Linked DNA regions of Macaca mulatta. Each later gene encodes a partner of the first gene's protein in a complex. Links are inferred from orthologs where the notes say so. Each region holds a gene or a part of one and is shown in the gene's direction. Other genes may lie near its edges.

What was found.
Region 2: the proteins of FMN2 (region 1) and SPIRE1 are in contact, whole or in part, in a crystal structure (PDB 2YLE), measured with the Homo sapiens proteins. The link is inferred for Macaca mulatta from reciprocal best matches to the Homo sapiens genes FMN2 and SPIRE1. Residues at the interface, in NP_064450.3 of Homo sapiens: Ser1702, Leu1703, Lys1705, Ile1706, Lys1707, Pro1708, Arg1709, His1710, Gly1713, Ile1714, Lys1715, Lys1717, Ile1718, Lys1721, Thr1722; in NP_001122098.1 of Homo sapiens: Gln51, Pro52, Ile53, Asn54, Glu127, Ile131, Tyr134, Lys135, Asp138, Leu141, Lys142, Glu143, Asn144, Glu145, Glu146, Arg147, Glu148, Glu154, Ile157, Asp158, Ala161, Asn162, Thr163, Val164, Glu165.

What each region holds. Positions count from the first base shown.
Region 1 is NC_133406.1:8,762,306-8,770,709, reverse strand, and holds part of FMN2 (formin-2), read left to right. Parts: intron 1-2,788; coding exon 2,789-2,880; intron 2,881-3,050; coding exon 3,051-3,180; intron 3,181-4,321; coding exon 4,322-4,468; intron 4,469-7,756; coding exon 7,757-7,816; intron 7,817-7,978; coding exon 7,979-8,099; intron 8,100-8,404. UniProt on the Homo sapiens protein: Actin-binding protein that is involved in actin cytoskeleton assembly and reorganization. Acts as an actin nucleation factor and promotes assembly of actin filaments together with SPIRE1 and SPIRE2.
Region 2 is NC_133423.1:83,138,837-83,147,240, reverse strand, and holds the end of SPIRE1 (protein spire homolog 1), read left to right. Parts: intron 1-1,100; exon of another isoform or gene 1,101-1,861; intron 1,862-2,748; coding exon 2,749-3,007; 3' UTR 3,008-6,118; downstream 6,119-8,404.

The sequences.
Region 1 (8,404 bases):
TGTGTACACATAAGTATGTATATATGTGTGCATGTGTGTATATGAGAGTGAGAGGGCCAAAGATTACTGAGGTGGAGTTAACTAAGCCCCAGAGAGAAAAAGGGAGCAGAAGAGATCATATCATGTACACATAGTTGTAGAGAACAAGAAAGGAACAAGAAACGGGCAGAGATAAAGTGACAGTTCCCTCGACTCGCCATGAAGTTTACTGTCAGCCCAGGGCAGCTTTATTTCTTTCTGACGTGAGCAGAAATGGTCTAATAGAGTACAGGGTATAAAGGACTGTGCAATTAGTACTTCATGTGTGCTGAATAGTTTGGGGAGTGCCTCTAGAGTACTAATAGAAAGTCACTTTGTTCTGAAGACATTGATGAATTTCATCCTTCTCTTGTATCTTTAATTATTACTCTGGTTTACCTTAGCCATCTTTTTGCTCTTACAGCTGCCTTTTGATTTGTTTTTGTGTTGTTTAAGACCCAGGGAAATTTACTGTGTCCGTGGAGTAGGATTCTAGTCATTCAACCCCACGTTGAGTCTATTCAACAGCTAGATTGAGTCTATATTAAGGTGTCTAAACAAAATCAAACTAAGAAACCTAATTATGTCACCAAACTGTAGCAAACAAGCAAACTGTAGCTTGTATCCAAGCTGGATTTTTTTAATGAGGTTTTGGATATAGAAAGGGGTTGGGCTTGGAGGTAGGTGACTAACCAACTCTCTGGTAGAAACTCTTTCCTTTAAAAGAATAAAGAGATTATAGGGATTGGAGACCTTTATGTGTTATACTTTGGTGGGGACTTGTGTGTCTTAAAACAACTCTTGCCTTTTCTGTATTTTTAGCTGTAATGTTCTTTTAGAATATTACCCAAGTCTCTCATTTGCCAGAAAGATCGGTATTAGTCTGTCCTGTAATATGGCTTTACATGGTCTTATGATATTATTTGTGAGGCTGACTCTCATAGGTAACTGACAAATGAATGAAGTAGTATTTGCTCAAGTAGTAAAATTCTTGAGCAAAGCCACAAATAACTGGGGAGAAAAGTAAGATTACTGTGCAATTGAAATTCTAGAAGAGTTTTAATTTTTGGAGTAGCTTAGAATATTTACAGTAAAATGTACCTCCTTTACTTCTTTGTATTCTTTTGATGCGTCACATTCCAAATGCAAAATTTATGAAACTGTCAGAGGATCAACTTCTCTGGCAGATCTCTCATCAGTTCTTCCCTCGTTAAAAGAAGCTTCTTTTGAGACAAGTCTTTGTTAGTTAATCCTATCAACTGAAAACCTGCATTTCAAAACAATCAGTAAATACAAAGCAGAACCTCGCTTTGTTTAGGTGGTATCTATCAATTCTCTTGAAATCTATCAGGCTCTAGCTTCTGTAGCAGTTCTTGGCTGAGCTGCTTGTCTATTTAAACAGAAATAATATTGAAAGAATATTAACTTCTGAAGACTGGACTCAGAAATCATAATATGGTGGTCTATTCTTAATGCATGTAGAAAATGTGATATTTTGGCTCTTTTAATACACCTTTGTGAGTTGTAAAATAAAGACAGGACTACAAATAAAAATAATCCAAATACTCTATAAAATACAGATTTGTGCTTCCTGAAGTCTATAAAATCTCCTACCCTATATTAATATTAAAAATGTACAGGATCTTCTCTCATAAGGAAACACAGTTAGAATGACAAATTTTTAGTTTGAGATTATAAAGGGTGACAGAAGACACTTAAGAAGAAAATAAGCATGGAGTCATTTTTGTATCAAAAAGAAAATCCAGGCCAGGTGCAGTGACTCATGCCTGTAATCCCAGCAGTTTGGGAGGCCGAGATGGGTGGATCACCTGAGGTCAGGAGTTCAAGACTAGCCTGGCCAACATGGTGAAACCTCGTCTCTACTAAAAATACAAAAAATGAGCTGGATGTAGTGGCAGGTGCCTGTAATCCCAGCTACTTAGGAGGCTGAGGCAGGAGAATCACTTGAACCCGGGAGGCGCAGGTTGCAGTGAGCAGATGTCATGCCATTGTACTCCCACCTGGGCGACTACTTTATAAAATGAAATGCTTGTGTTCTAGAAAGTATTATAAACAGCCAAAATAACAAAGGAAAACTATTGTTTTAAAGCATGCTTGAATGAATAAACATTTCTGAATAGTTATGAATAAACATAACTATTCAGATCACTAATAGTTAATAACATTATTTGGAAGATTTGGGGATAATCTGGCTCACATTAAACATATTTACACTTTATTTTATTTTATTTTACTTTACTTTGTTTTATTTTATTTATTTATTTATTTATTTATTTATTTATTTGAGATGGAGTCTCACTCTGTCACCCAGGCTGGAGTTCAGTGGTACAATCTCAGCTCACTGCAACCTCCTCCTCCCAGGTTCAGGCGATTCTCCTGCCTCAGCCTCTCAAGTAGCTGGGATTACAGGCACCCGCCACCACGCCCCACTAATTTTTGTATTTTTAGTAGAGATGGGGTTTCACCATATTGGCCAGGCCAGTCCTCAAACACCTGACCTCAGGTGATCCACCCCCCTTGGCCTCCCAAAGTGCTGGGATTACAGGCATGAGCCACTGCACCCGGCCATATTTAGACTTTCAAATGCCTCATGAATTAAGTCAAGCTTTACTACAAACAGATGCTAAGAAACATGAAAACAGATAGAGTTTTGCTGTATTCAGATCAGTACATTTATCAAGATAATTAGATTATTTAAGGGATTCAGTTGGCCAGACTTTGAAAAACTGTTTGGTTTTTGTTTTTCTAGAGAGCACAGTCAGACGAACTGGAAAAAATAGAAAAGCATGGCCGGTCTTCCAAAGACAAGGAAAATGCCAAGTCTCTGGACAAACCTGAGCAGTAAGCATGCCTTATAGCCGTGCAGAGGGCGTCCAGGCCATGGGTGGGCCCGTTTTGTTTGGAAAATGCAATGCAGTGTCTTCAGTGCATACTTGTTATGAATGAGATGAGAATAAACATCTGTGGATGTGAATTATATTTTTCTTCTTAACTTGGCTTTATTTCCTTAGGTTCCTTTATGAACTGTCACTAATCCCCAACTTTTCAGAGCGAGTCTTTTGCATCCTGTTCCAGTCCACGTTTTCAGAAAGCATTTGCTCAATTCATCGCAAACTGGAATTACTACAGAAATTGTGTGAGGTAAGTTCTGGTCCAAAGAGAGCTGAACTTGAATCTCATTTAATTGTGCTCAGTCATGTTCATATTTCAGAAAAGCGTTCTTTTATTTACTCGAAGTACTCACCAAATTTGACGGATCACAGTCCCACAGAAGGGAACATTTTATGATTGACCTTCAAGATCAAAGCAAATGTTCCGAGGGGTGCCCAGGGCTGCAAGACCACATTGCTAGAATGTGGCCAGTACATGTTGGCCTCCAGAGACTTCTGTGTCCTCTCCTTTTGCCAAAACAAAATCTTCAGTTTTCACGGTCCTCTCAGACATCAGACTTCCAAAGGAATGTGATTTGAAGGCATTTTTCTTTACTTTCTTTCGTTGTCAGGAAGGACTCCTCCACAAATTGTTAATAATTATTCCAGCCAAATAATTTAGGAACAGCCATATGACTCAACAGAAGACAGATATTCCTCTGAAAACAAAAAATAAATGCTTGGCAGAAACAACCAATGTTAACATTTAAAACAATTTGTCAAATATCAGTAGTACCATTTGTTCTAGTTGCGGTAAATCATTTTGAAAAGTGAAAAGATGTTCTTAAAGGCTCACATTTTCAGAAGAAGTGACATGCAAATTTAAGTTAAACACAGTGTTTTGAAAGAAATGAGTGTGAGCTCTTTGGGGGTAAACCTAAATTTAGAAATTAATCTCTGCGTCTGCTTTTTGGTTTCCTCTGCTGAGGCCAAAAAATTTGTTTTGTTCCAGACATAGGCACAATTAAGACAATGGCAGATATATTAGTGATGTTATTTTGTAATGGTTCTCATTTGGCCTTATTTAATAGTTCTCATATATCCTTATTCTCATATAGCCTTAGTTCCCATATAGCCTTAATAGTTCTCACACAACCTTGTTTTCCTTGCGATTACATCATAGACATGGCCTAACATAGCATCCCCCAGCTTACAGAGGCATACCTGAATGTTTGTGGGTGGTGCAGCTTTTACTAACTTTCAAGATACTGCTCTTAACATATACCTAATAATTAGGAATGATAAAGTTTGGTTGTGACCCAAAACTACTAATATAAATAGCTGGCATTGACTTGATGATTCAAACAAAACCTGGTATAGAAGTTGTTTTTTGTTGTTGTTCTGTTTCACAGACGTTAAAAAATGGCCCAGGGGTTATGCAGGTTCTAGGTTTGGTTCTTGCCTTTGGCAACTACATGAATGGAGGAAATAAGACTCGAGGACAGGCAGATGGCTTTGGATTAGACATTCTTCCAAAACTGAAAGATGTCAAGAGCAGTGTAAGTATTTTGCATGAGTGGACATAGGCAAATTGAGAATTCAATGTTTTGTTTAGTAATAAGTCTGAATGTAAAGCAGTTGTAATAAATATTTCTTTTATGTTCCTAGGCCAAATGTTTCTTTATGTTCTGAGCTAGAAAAAAGTAATGTCCATCAGATATTTGTGATTAATAATGTTTCCTAAAGTGAATAATTTTTATTCTTATGTCTAATTAATAATTACAACTTTTTAATATAAAAACAATATAAAATAACTTTTTATATTGTTTTAATATAAAAACAATAATTTCTTTTACTGTATCTTTCCCATGTCTGCTAATATTTATCCTTTTGGAATCTGAAGGCTAATTATTTTCTATGAGTTAGACAGTGTATCTCTTGTTTTTTTCTTTGTCATGTCAAGCAATGGAGGCCAATAGGTCCACATTTTGAAAATAACACAAAGATGAATAAAATGGCTTGTAAATAAAATATAAAAGATGATTCTACTCTGCTGCATATGATTTTCTCCTTGATACTGGTGCGTCGGGGGATGTCTAAGCCCTCTTGCAGACCTAATTATTTTTGGTACTACTTCTGCAGTTGTGTTTGTTTGAAATTAATATCTAAGCAATTGTGAGAGTGCCAGGAGAAATATGAGGTTAGGAATGATGGTTAGAGTCACAGAATGAAGTCTGAGATGATAAACTTAAAAAATAAAAGAGTTACATTTCTCTAATAAAAGAATCATCACACAAAAAAGTAAGATAAAGGAAATTCTGGACATGTTTTTGAAATATTAAGTTTAATAATTGGCTTGTAGAAATAAAAATATGTAGGATTGTCCTTCCTAGATAATGAAATAATTTCCTTCATGGGAGAGAGAGAGACTTTTAGACTGAGGCAGGACAATGGCATGAACACGGGAGGCAGAGCTTGCAGTGAGCCGAGATCGCACCACTGCACTCCAGCCTGGGTGACAGAGCGAGACTCCATCTCAAAAAAAAAAAAATATTTTCTGCCAGCCAACAATTTGTTTATTATTTTATATACAGATGATTCTCAATGTAAAATGGAGTTATGGCCTGATAAACCCATCCTAAGTTGAAAATACCATAAGTGAAAAGGCATTCAATACATCTAACCTAGTAAGCATCAAAGCTTAGCCTAGCCTGCCTCAAACATGCTCAGAACACTTACCTCAGCCTACAGTTGGGCAAATCATCTAACACAAAGCCTATTTTATAATAAAGTGCTGAATATCACATGTAATTTATTGAATACTGTGCTGCAAGTGACAAACAGAATGCTTGTATGGGTACTCAAAGTATAGTTTCTACTGAATGTGTATCACTTTTGTACCATTGTAAAGTCAAAAAATTGTAAGATGAACCATTGTAAGTCAGCGTCTGTGTGTGTGTGTGTGTGTGTGTGTGTGTGTGTGTGTGTGGTCAAATTAATACAGATATTCATTCAACATTCTTTCATTGAGCATCTATGGAACATGGACACTGCTTTTCCAACACTGAATAATTCGTAGTTCTTCCCTGGTACACCCACACATATGATGTTTTTATTTTTATAATTGTTTGTTCAAATGCTCATGTGTATGATACACATTTTCATAGAAGTCTTACTATAGAGAGCTGATAAATTACATTTGTTTAAAAAAAATGCTTAAGCCAAGTGCAATAGCATGAGCCCATAATCCCAGCTACTTGGGAGGACTTTTCGAGGCCAACCTGGGTTATACAGTGAGACCCCTTCTCAAAAAAAAAAAAAAAAAAAAAAAGAAAGAAAAGAAGTCCTTTTCTTAACCTATGGTGATTCTTGAATACTCAGCAACTGCTTGTTGGAGTGAAACAACTTTTGCAAATAATATTGAAATACATAGCATCAATATCATGTTTAAATTATAGAAATGAACTGGAAGTAGATTCTAGTGATCATATACAAATAAGAGATTATTTGTGGGACTTTTTTGGTATCAGTTTATATATTGTATTCAATCCTCTATTAGATTAAATGTCATTAATTTAGATAATCAAGGGGTAATCTAAAATAAAAATTTTAATATGTAATCAAGAAATAAGTTTTTAAAATAGTTTCACTTGTACTCAGAAGAGCTATGCAAAGTCTTCCTGAATTGGTTCTTTCTCTGTAAAACAAATGTAACTATACTTATTCCTTAGTACTGTTTATAGACCTCCATGGACAGAGCTGTTACTTTGATCACTTAGAATTTTCTCTTAGCACACCAAGTTTTGTTAATTGATTCAGGTGCTGCCAGCCATTTCACTGAATTACAAGTTGGGAGAGAGAAGGGAACTCAAGTTGCTTAAATCATGTTACAAGCAAATCCTGTCTAATGAGGGGTGTCTTTAATAGCTATATTACTGACTCATGTCAAACTTGATTATAAAGAGGTTTTGCTCTTTTTACAAATATAGAAAAAATCGTGGTTATATTAAACATTCCAGAGAATGTAGTTTGTATCATAGGGTTTGTTTTTAAAGTAAAATATATACCTGAGCTCTCAAATTCAGATTATCTACTACTACTTTGGAAGAATACACAAAAAAAGCTAAATAAAAATTAATGCCCCTAAATAAACCAGAAAGGAGGTGAAAAGGTATTTTTGAAATGTGTTAGATATGAAACAATTTTACCTTTTTTTAAATAGAACTACCCACATTGTCTTATTTATAAACACATGAGTATTAATTTGTCAAATCCCAATTGCTGACATAACAAATTATAATATTGGAATTGTTAAAAGCTCCCCTTTACTTAATATTGGAATTGTTAAAAGCTCCCCTTTACTTAAAATGATACTTAGCTTTTTTATTTCCCTAATCTATATGCTAATGAGCCTCAATCAAAGTTACTGTTGGAGTGGTACCTATTTGTTCAGCTATATATCAATGCTAGCAATGTTTAATTATTTCCTTTAAGATAGTAGTTTTAAAACAAAAAATTATCAAACAAAACAATAAAAACACAAAATAATAAAATATACAAGACATGAGCTAAATTTCTAATTGAGGGGGGTAACAATTGGAAAGTATTTACAGTTTAGACTTTGCCCCTAAATAGCTATGCTAAGATTGGAACACTGGGGAGAAAAATCTTTTAAGCCATCAAACTCCTTAGACACAATGGCCAAGACAATTCAAAATGTAAAATTTCACATTACATTCCAAATGTTCTCATGTATATATATGAATTTACTAGAATCTTTTTTGGTAACACTTTATATTTAATTAGTTAAAAAATACGTTGTCACTGACTTTGGTCTTTCTGCCTAGGACAATAGCAGAAGCCTTTTGTCATATATTGTTTCGTATTATCTCCGAAATTTTGATGAGGTAAGACAATTTTTACATCTCGTCACATTCCATTATTCTTTATTTGTTGGATGATTTGGCAGTACTTTTTGTTGTTGTTTTTGGTTTGGAGATACCTGCCATTATTCTTTTTTATGTTGATAACCAATTTCTTTGACTATAATGGGGTTTTTTGTTCATTAGGATGCTGGAAAAGAACAGTGCCTCTTTCCACTGCCAGAACCCCAGGACCTTTTCCAGGCCTCACAGATGAAGTTTGAAGATTTTCAAAAAGATCTCAGAAAACTGAAGAAAGACTTGAAAGGTAACTTAAAATCCTGAACTCATGTTTTCTGTTTATGCTTTTTTAATGAGAGAAGGCAGACTTTTCAATGTTTTTAGAGAAAAGTAATCTTTTTTATCTTTATAGAACTAAATTTGTGTGTGTGTGGCAAAAGAACAATTTTGCCTATATTCTTTGGTTGTTTAAAACGTTATGTGTGTCAAAAATTTGGTTATTAAGTAATACCTTGGTTATTTCAGTTAATCTGTTTTGTCAGGAATAAGTTTACCTTTTGTTTTCATTTTCATTTTATAACCAAGAACATTTGGGTATTGGTCGTGTCATGG
Region 2 (8,404 bases), on another chromosome or scaffold:
CAAGGCGGGCGGATCACGAGGTCAGGAGATTGAGACTATCCTGGCCAACATGGTGAAACCCCATCTCTACTAAAAATACAAAAAATTAGCCGGGCGAGGTGGCGGGCGCCTGTGGTCCCAGCTACTCGGGAGGCTGAGGCAGAAGAATGGCGTGAACCCGGGAGGCGGAGCTTGCAGTGAGCCGAGATGGCGCCACTGCACTCCAGCCTGGGTGACAGAGCGAGACTCCGTCTCAAAAAAAAAAAAAAAAAAGTAAATAAGTAGACAATTCCTGGTTATCTCAGACATTCCTGGAAACATTTATTATGATGTTGGTCTGGTTAACTCCATCTCCTTGGAATCCCAATAAATAATTGCCCAAATACAGGGAATTGTTGGGGAGGGAGAGGCTTGTTTGATAAATACATAAATGATGAGAAAACTGGTCAAAAGATAGTTTTTTAGGATGTGTCATGGGATTAAGATAAATTTATTTAAATTTCCTATTGTCTGATCTGCCATCTACGGTTAGCTAATGTTCACTGGGAATCAGGTGAATACCCTATTTTCCAAGAATTCTAGAAGGGTGGTTAAGAGTTTTTAGTTTTTTTGGCCAGGCGTGGTGGCTCACGCCTGTAATCCCAGCACTTTGGGAGGCCGAGGTGGGCGGATTACCTGAGGTCGGGAGTTTGAGACCAGCCTGACCAACGTGGAGAAACCCCGTCTCTACTAAAAATACAAAATTAGGCCGGGCGCGGTGGCTCAAGCCTGTAATCCCAGCACTTTGGGAGGCCGAGACGGGCGGATCACGAGGTCAGGAGATCGAGACCATCCTGGGTGATGGTGAAACCCCGTCTCTACTAAAATACAAAAAAAATTAGCCGGGCGAGGTGGCGGGCGCCTGTACTCCCAGCTACTCGGGAGGCTGAGGCAGGAGAATGGTGTGAACCCGGGAGGCGGTGCTTGCAGTGAGCTGAGATCCGGCCACTGCACTCCAGCCTGGGCAACAGAGCCAGACTCCGTCTCAAAAAAAAAAAAAAAAAAAACAAAATTAGCCGGGTGTGGTGGCACATGCCTGTAATCCCAGCTACTTGGGAGGCTGAGGCAGGAGAATCGCTTGAACCTGGGAGGCAGAGGTTACAGTGAGCCGAGATCACGCCATTGCACTCCAGCCTGGGCAACAAGAGCGAAACTCCGTCTCAGGAAAAAAAAAAACAAAAGAGTTTTTAGTTTTGTTTTGTTTTGTTTTTTCAGATAAACAGTTTCTTTATTCATCTTCCTCCTCCTCCTCTCCTTCTTCCTTTTCATCTTCTTCATCTTCATCTTCCTCTTCCACCCTTTTCTGGGCAACTTTAGCAGGACCCTTTTCTCCATCAAACTTTCCTTTCGAATTATAGTCAGAAACATCCTTCTCACACTTTTCCTTCAGCTTTGCCGCCTCAGTGGTATAAGGCTCCTTTTCACTGTCATTTAAGTTATTCCACACCTCACCCAGCTTTTTTGCCACGTCTCCAATAGAGATGCCAGAGTTTATGAATTTGATCTTGGGGTGGAATTCTGAACAGAGCAGGAAGAATCCAGATGGTGGCCTTCTCAGGGCATTAGGATCCTTCTTCTTGCCACCCTTAGCTGGTCCATAATCCTTCATTTCTCAATGGTACTGTACTTTATCCACCTTTGCCATTTCATCAAATTTAGACTTCTCTTTCCCAGACATTGTCTTCCACCTTTCAGAGCACTTGGAAAATTCTGCAAAATTGACAGAGCCCTCTGGGCTTTTCTTATGTTCTCTGCACATCTGCACAAAGAAGGCATAAGCAGACATCTTGCCCTTTGGTTTCTTGGGGTCACCTTTAGCCATCCTGACTGTATTGTTCGATAGTCTGGGCAGCGCCTTTTTTTTTTTTTTTTTTTTTTTTTGTGATGCGGAGTCTCGCTCTGTCGCCCAGGCTGGAGTGCAATGGCGCTATCTCGGCTGACTGCAAGCCCCGCCTCCTGGGTTCACGCCATACTCCTGCCTCAGCCTCCTGTGTAGCTGAGACTACAGGCGTCCACCACCTCACCTCGCAAATTGTTTTTTGTATATTTAGTAGAGACGGGGTTTCACCACGTTAGCCAGGATGGTCTCCATCTCCTGACCTCGTGATCCGCCTGCCTGGGCCTCCCAAAGTGCTGGAATTACAGGAATAAGCCACCGTGCCCGGCCTGGGCAGCGCCTATCTTATAAGACATGTTTCCTGCTTTCTTTCATTTTTCTGTCTTTTTTTTTCTTTTTTTTTTTGAGACAGTTTCGCTTTTGTCACCCTGGCTGGAGTGCAGCGGTGCCATCTCAGCTCACTACAACCTCCACCTCCCAGGTTCAAGCAATTCTCCTGCCTCAGCCTCCCGAATAGTGGGGATTACGGGGCCTGCCACCATGCCCAGCTAATTTTTTTCTTTTTTTAGTAGAGACTGGGTTTCGCCGTGTTAGCCAGGCTGGCCTCAAACTCCTGACCTCAGGTGATCCGCCTGCCTCGGCCTCCCAAAGTGCTGGGATTACAGGCGTGAGCCACCGCACCTGGCCTCCTACTTTCTTTTCTAAGTAATATTTTTTAGCCTTGTCTCCAATAAGAAATTTTTTTAGAAGGACATATGATTAAATCACTCATCCATTCCATGATGTTTTGACAACAAATTTACTCTTTATTTCACAGACTTTCTTCTTACTGCAGTAGACCTATAAGTAACGATGCTGGGCTTCTGTTTGGTTTTCTGTTGTTTTTACCCCAGGTTCTCCTCAAAATCTAAGTCTATGGACAAATCAGATGAAGAACTCCAGTTTCCCAAAGAGTTGATGGAGGACTGGAGCACCATGGAGGTGTGTGTGGACTGCAAGAAGTTCATTTCGGAAATCATCAGTTCAAGCCGGCGCAGTCTGGTGTTGGCCAACAAACGGGCCCGATTGAAAAGGAAAACGCAGTCTTTCTACATGTCCCCACCAGGCCCCTCGGAGTACTGCCCTTCGGAGAGGACGATCAGTGAGATCTGAGCCTCGTGCCTTTCAGCTGCTTTTGTGCTTAGAGTCAGCGTCCGTGCGCGAGAACACTGAGCCGGGCTGGCACTCCTTTCTGTGGTTTTATTTAATGGGCTTGAATTTGCATTAGATCAGATTTTTGCTGCATCACATTGTTCCACAGACTGAATGCTGTGTTCATATCAATTGATGAAACGTGACAGGTCCGCCAATTGCTCGTTTGCACTGAGAGAGGACAACAGTTTGAAACTTACTTTTGTGTCTGTGTGGCTTCGGGAGCCAGTAACTACTTCCTTAGTTCAGTTCTTTACTGTTCCTCGAATAATCTCCTGACTAAGGCAAAAAAATCAAAAGCTTCTCCTGTGAGAATCAGTCTAGCAGAGACGCCGATGTCAGCACAGCCCTAAGCAGTAAGTCATATTGGCATTTCCACGTGACCGTGTTTCTCTCCCGTGTACAGAGAGATCCAGAGCCCTACGCACCAGGACCTGGGGGCTCGCCGCACAGAACCTAGAAGCACCTGCTGACACTCTCCAACTGATTTTTAAATTATTGTTGCTTGGAGATGAAAATTACATAAGGGACTTTATGCCTGCATTCTAGTGCAAAACATCTGAAGAGCTGTACACCCACAAGGGTGACTATTTCCCCTGAGTGGCCGTGTTGTCCCAGTGCCCTGGATCAGTGTCTCCTGAGTGGATGACAGGTCTTCATTCTCTATCTTGAATGTATTATGGTTACTAATAGTTTTATAATGGAGGTCTAAGAATTGAAGTTTTGTGGGAGTTTCAGGACAAAGGAAGGCTAAAAGTTTGTCAAGAAGTTGCGCATATTTTGGTTACCTATGAGAAGGGTTGTGACCGCGTACAGTGGCAGCTGTTGGCCGCGCTGCAGAAATGAGCTGGAGCTCATGCGTTTTCAGCTACATTTTTCATCACTTTATAGTACGTCCATCTTGAGTAAATTAAGCCACAATTTGGTACCTAGGGTCTCAAAAACTGAAATTTATTTTTATAAATGAATTTTAAAAGAAAAAATATCTACTTCTTTTAAAGTTAGAAGAAAATTAACCTGCCGACAGGCAACATTTTTGGGTGCTTTCTGCACTAGTTTTCCTTGTAAATGGTTTGAGTGAGTAGGTTGGGTTTCTGACAAAAGTAGACTGGAGGGTAGCACTGTATGCCTCAAACGTCTCAGTGTGTTTGACTCATACCATGGGCTATACTTTATTATTCTGGTATGCTTACAAATGACCAACCAACCAAATTGCCATTAAAGTTTGGAAAATCTGTTAATGCACATGCACAGTAATTTCCGGAAAGCCATAGGACATGTCTGTAGTCAGCACCATGACAGCACCGTGTCATGAAAGGCATGGCGGCTGCATTTCATACCACGTCAAATACAGTAACATTTCTCTACTAAATTAACAGCAATACCTCAAAACTGCTCCGGTGGTAGTTTTTAATGGGTTGAAATTTACAGTTTAGTAAATGGCTTAAAATTACTTATACTTATGAAATAAACTTTACCAGTTGACTAAAATAATGCATGTTAACAGTTGGTCTGTATTTGCATGTAAAAGTGGGCCACCAGAGAACCCTTATTGATTACTTAATTTAAGTGTTTAAATTATTTTAAAGACTCCTGTTTAAGAGCTTTAAGAATTGTACTGGGCGAATCTCATTTATAAAACTTCCTAAGAGCCTATCTGAACTCTAGACTCCAGACAGTTAGGTGGGAGTAGAAATCTACCCCCTTTGATGACCCCAGGCTTGAGTTTTTAAAATGACTACCCAGAAGGGCACAAGGGGGAGGAAGTGGTATTTGTATATGTATATAAATATGCACCTAGGAGAATGTGCTTTTTAAAATAATGACTACTGTTTTTATTAAAACATAAGAAACTACACCCCCAAAATAAGACTTTCATTCACATTCACAAAGCAAACATCTAGTAAATGTCTTTCACTTCACTTTATGATACTGTATGGGATGATTTGGGCATTACGATCACCTCTTACCACAGCATAGAACATCCATTCTTCAACAGCATTAACGGAGTTTGCCAAGTGCATTAAAGAGGTCACGGGGAGGGTACGTTCATATGAAACAATCTGCAGAAACTGGCGTAAGAAAGGGCACATGGCAGAAAGTTGTAGAAATCAAATTACTATCATTTTTTGTTGCCAAAACAAAGTCTTACATTTAACCCCCCTTTGTACCACTCCCCTCAACACTTCACCTAAGCTAGATAATTTCCATAGGGTAATTCACTAAGAGCTTGTGGAGCTTGGTTTTAAAATCCTTAGCCTAATCTGACTTTAGGCATAGCTTCCAGTTCTTCCTTCCTTGTCCTGGTTTCTTGTTCAGCTTTTACTTCTAATCCAACAACAAAATAGATGTCTGGCTGGTCTCAGAGCATGTGTGCATTTCTGAACCATCATCCCTGCTCTCCTCTCAGCTCCCTCCAGGCCTGAGCACCGGTTCCTTTTATCCCGTACGTCATAAAGTCACACTATTGGGAAACCTGTGCTTCCCTCTCCATGGCTTAACTCCCTGTCAGTGTCGGAATGTATAAGAATGCTTGTAAATATTGTAATATACTTATTAATATTTGAAAGACATTCATTCAGTGGACAGTGGGAATTAACTCTCCCAAGGCAAGTGAAAAGAAATGATCAACATGTACATTGATTTAACAATCTTACTAGATTTTAATTCTTAAGTATTTCAAATGAAACCAGAAGGTGGTTATGTAGGAGGCTTAAAATGATCTTATGTCTAAAGAGATTCTGTTATTAGCACCATGAACTCATACTCTGAAATTTTTAAGCCTTTTATTTTTCTAACTATATTAATATAGGACTGGATTTTAGGCATCATATAGGAAACACAAAACTTGTTGCTGTTTGCTAAAGCAATATAGCAGAAAATTTCGTACATGCAAAACTGCTAAAGGACTGCAGAGAAATGTGTACTACTGACGGGGCTTTTACTAGGCCTCCTGCGTGTGTAAAAGTCGAGGTATTGCTGGCATTCAGGGTGACATGATGGTACTAAATGTTTTCCATTAAAGTCTTCTATTTTAAAATTTAGGGAAAAATAAAATGGCTTTCCATCATACGTTCTGTGTTGAGTTCCTATCGTAAGACGGTGATGTCTTTTGTTAACTAACTGTCAGAAATCATCTCGATTGGGAATGCAGGGTACTTTTATCAGCAACCTGTGAAGAAACACAGTCTAGGCCGGGCGTGGTAGCTCAGTAATCCCAGCACTTTGGGAGGCCGAGGCAGACGGATCATCTGAGTTCAGGAGTTCAAGTGATTCTCGTGCCTCAGCCTCCCGAGTAGCTGGGATTACAGGTGCCTGCCATCACACCCAGCTAATTTTTGTATTTTTGTACATGGTGGCCTACATAGTGAAACCCCATCTCTACTAAAAATACAGAAATTAGCCGGGCATGGTGGTGTGCTCCTGTAATCCTGGCTACTGGGGAGGCTAAGGCATGAGAATTGCTTGAACCCGGCAGGTGGAGGTTGCAGTGAGCTGAGATTGTGCCACTGTACTCCAGCCTGGGCGACAGAGCAAGATTACCCCTCAAAAAAAAAAAAAGAAATACAGTCTACAAGGACCGCACTGGAAAAATTAACCACCACAGTGACAAGCCACCACAAGTGACAAGCAGCCATGAGTTAGGAGAGTATGTAAAGAGTACATAACATTTTATTATGTATCACAAATATGGAGACAAATCCTGTGGGAGATGGATGAAGCTTTCTTTGACAGCTTCCTGGAGGCATAATTGATAAAGCAGAAAAGCCCGCACAATAAGCAGTAAGTCATGTTGGCATTCCCACGTGACCGTGTTTCTATCCCGTGTAAAGAGACATCCAGAGCCCTACGCACCAGGACCTGGGGGCTCACCGCACAGAACCTAGAAGCACCTGCTGACACTCTCCAACTGATTTTTAAATTATTGTTGTTTGGAAATAAAAATTACATTAAGGGACTTTATGCCTGCATTCTAGTGCAAAACATCTGAAGAGCTATACACCCACAAGGGTGACTATTTCCCCAGCCACGCCCAGGCGTGTCCCACCCCATCATGTGTGGCTTGGTGGCGCTTCACAGGTGCTGCATTTTTACAGGTTGTGGCAGCCCTGCAGCAGGCAAGTCAGTCGGCAGCGTTTTTCCAACAGCTTGTGCACACTTTGTGTCTCTGCATCACATTTGGGTAACTCTCACAACATTTCAAGCTTTTTCATTATTACTATATCTTTTATGGTGATCTGTGGTCTTTGATGTCACTATTGTAATTGTTTTGGGGAGCCATGAACTGGGCCCATATAAGATGGCAAGCTTAATCGATAAATGTTGTGTGTGTTCTGACCGTTCCCCCATCTCTCTCCCTCTCCTCGGACTCCCCATTCCCTGAGAAACAATATTGAAATGAGGCCAATAACAGTACAGTGGCTTCTAAGTGTTAAGTGAAAGAAAGAGTTGAGTCTCTCATTTTAAATCTGAAGCTAGAAATGATTATGCTTAGTGAGGCAGGCATTCAAAGCTGAGATGGGCCCAAAGCTAGGCCTCTTGCACCAAACAGCCAAGCTGTGAATGCAAAGAGAAAGTTAATGAAGGAAATTAACAAGTGCTACTCCAGTGAACACTTGATAAGAAAGCAAGCTGTGTGTGGTGCATGCCTGTAGTCCCGGCTCCTCAGGAGGCTGATGCAGGAGGATCGCTTGAGCCCCAGGAGTTTGAGGCCGCAATGAGCTATGATCACACCACTGGATTCTGTTCTGGGTGAGAGTGAGACTCCATCTCTTTAAAAAAAAAAAATGATAAGAAAGCAAAACAGCCTTATTTCCTGATACGGAGAATGTCTGAGTGGTCTGGATAAAGAACCACATTTTGAGAACGTTTGGGTGGTCTGGATAAAGACCAGCCACATTTCCTTAAGCCAAATCTAATCCAAAGCAAGGCCCTAGCTCACTTCAATTCTTTGAAGGCTGAGAGAGGTAAGGAGGCTGCAGAAGAATCTGAAAGCTGACAGAGGTTGTTGGTTCATGAAGTTTAAGGAAAGAAGCCATCTCCGTAACATAAAGTACAAGGCAAAGCAGTAACTGCTGATGGAGAAGCTGCAGCAAGTTCTTCAGAAGATCTAGCTATGATCTTGAAGAACGTGGCTACACTACACATTTGCAATGCAGATGAAACAGAAGATGCCATGTAGGACTTTCATAGCTAGAGAACAGTCAATGCCTGGCTTCCCGGCTTCAAAGGCTGACATGCTTGTTAGGGACTAATGCAGCTGGTGACCTGAAGTAGAAGCCAGTGCTCATTTACCATTTGGAAAATCCTAAGGCCCTTGAGTCTGAAGCTAAATCTACTCTGCCTGTACCCTGCCAA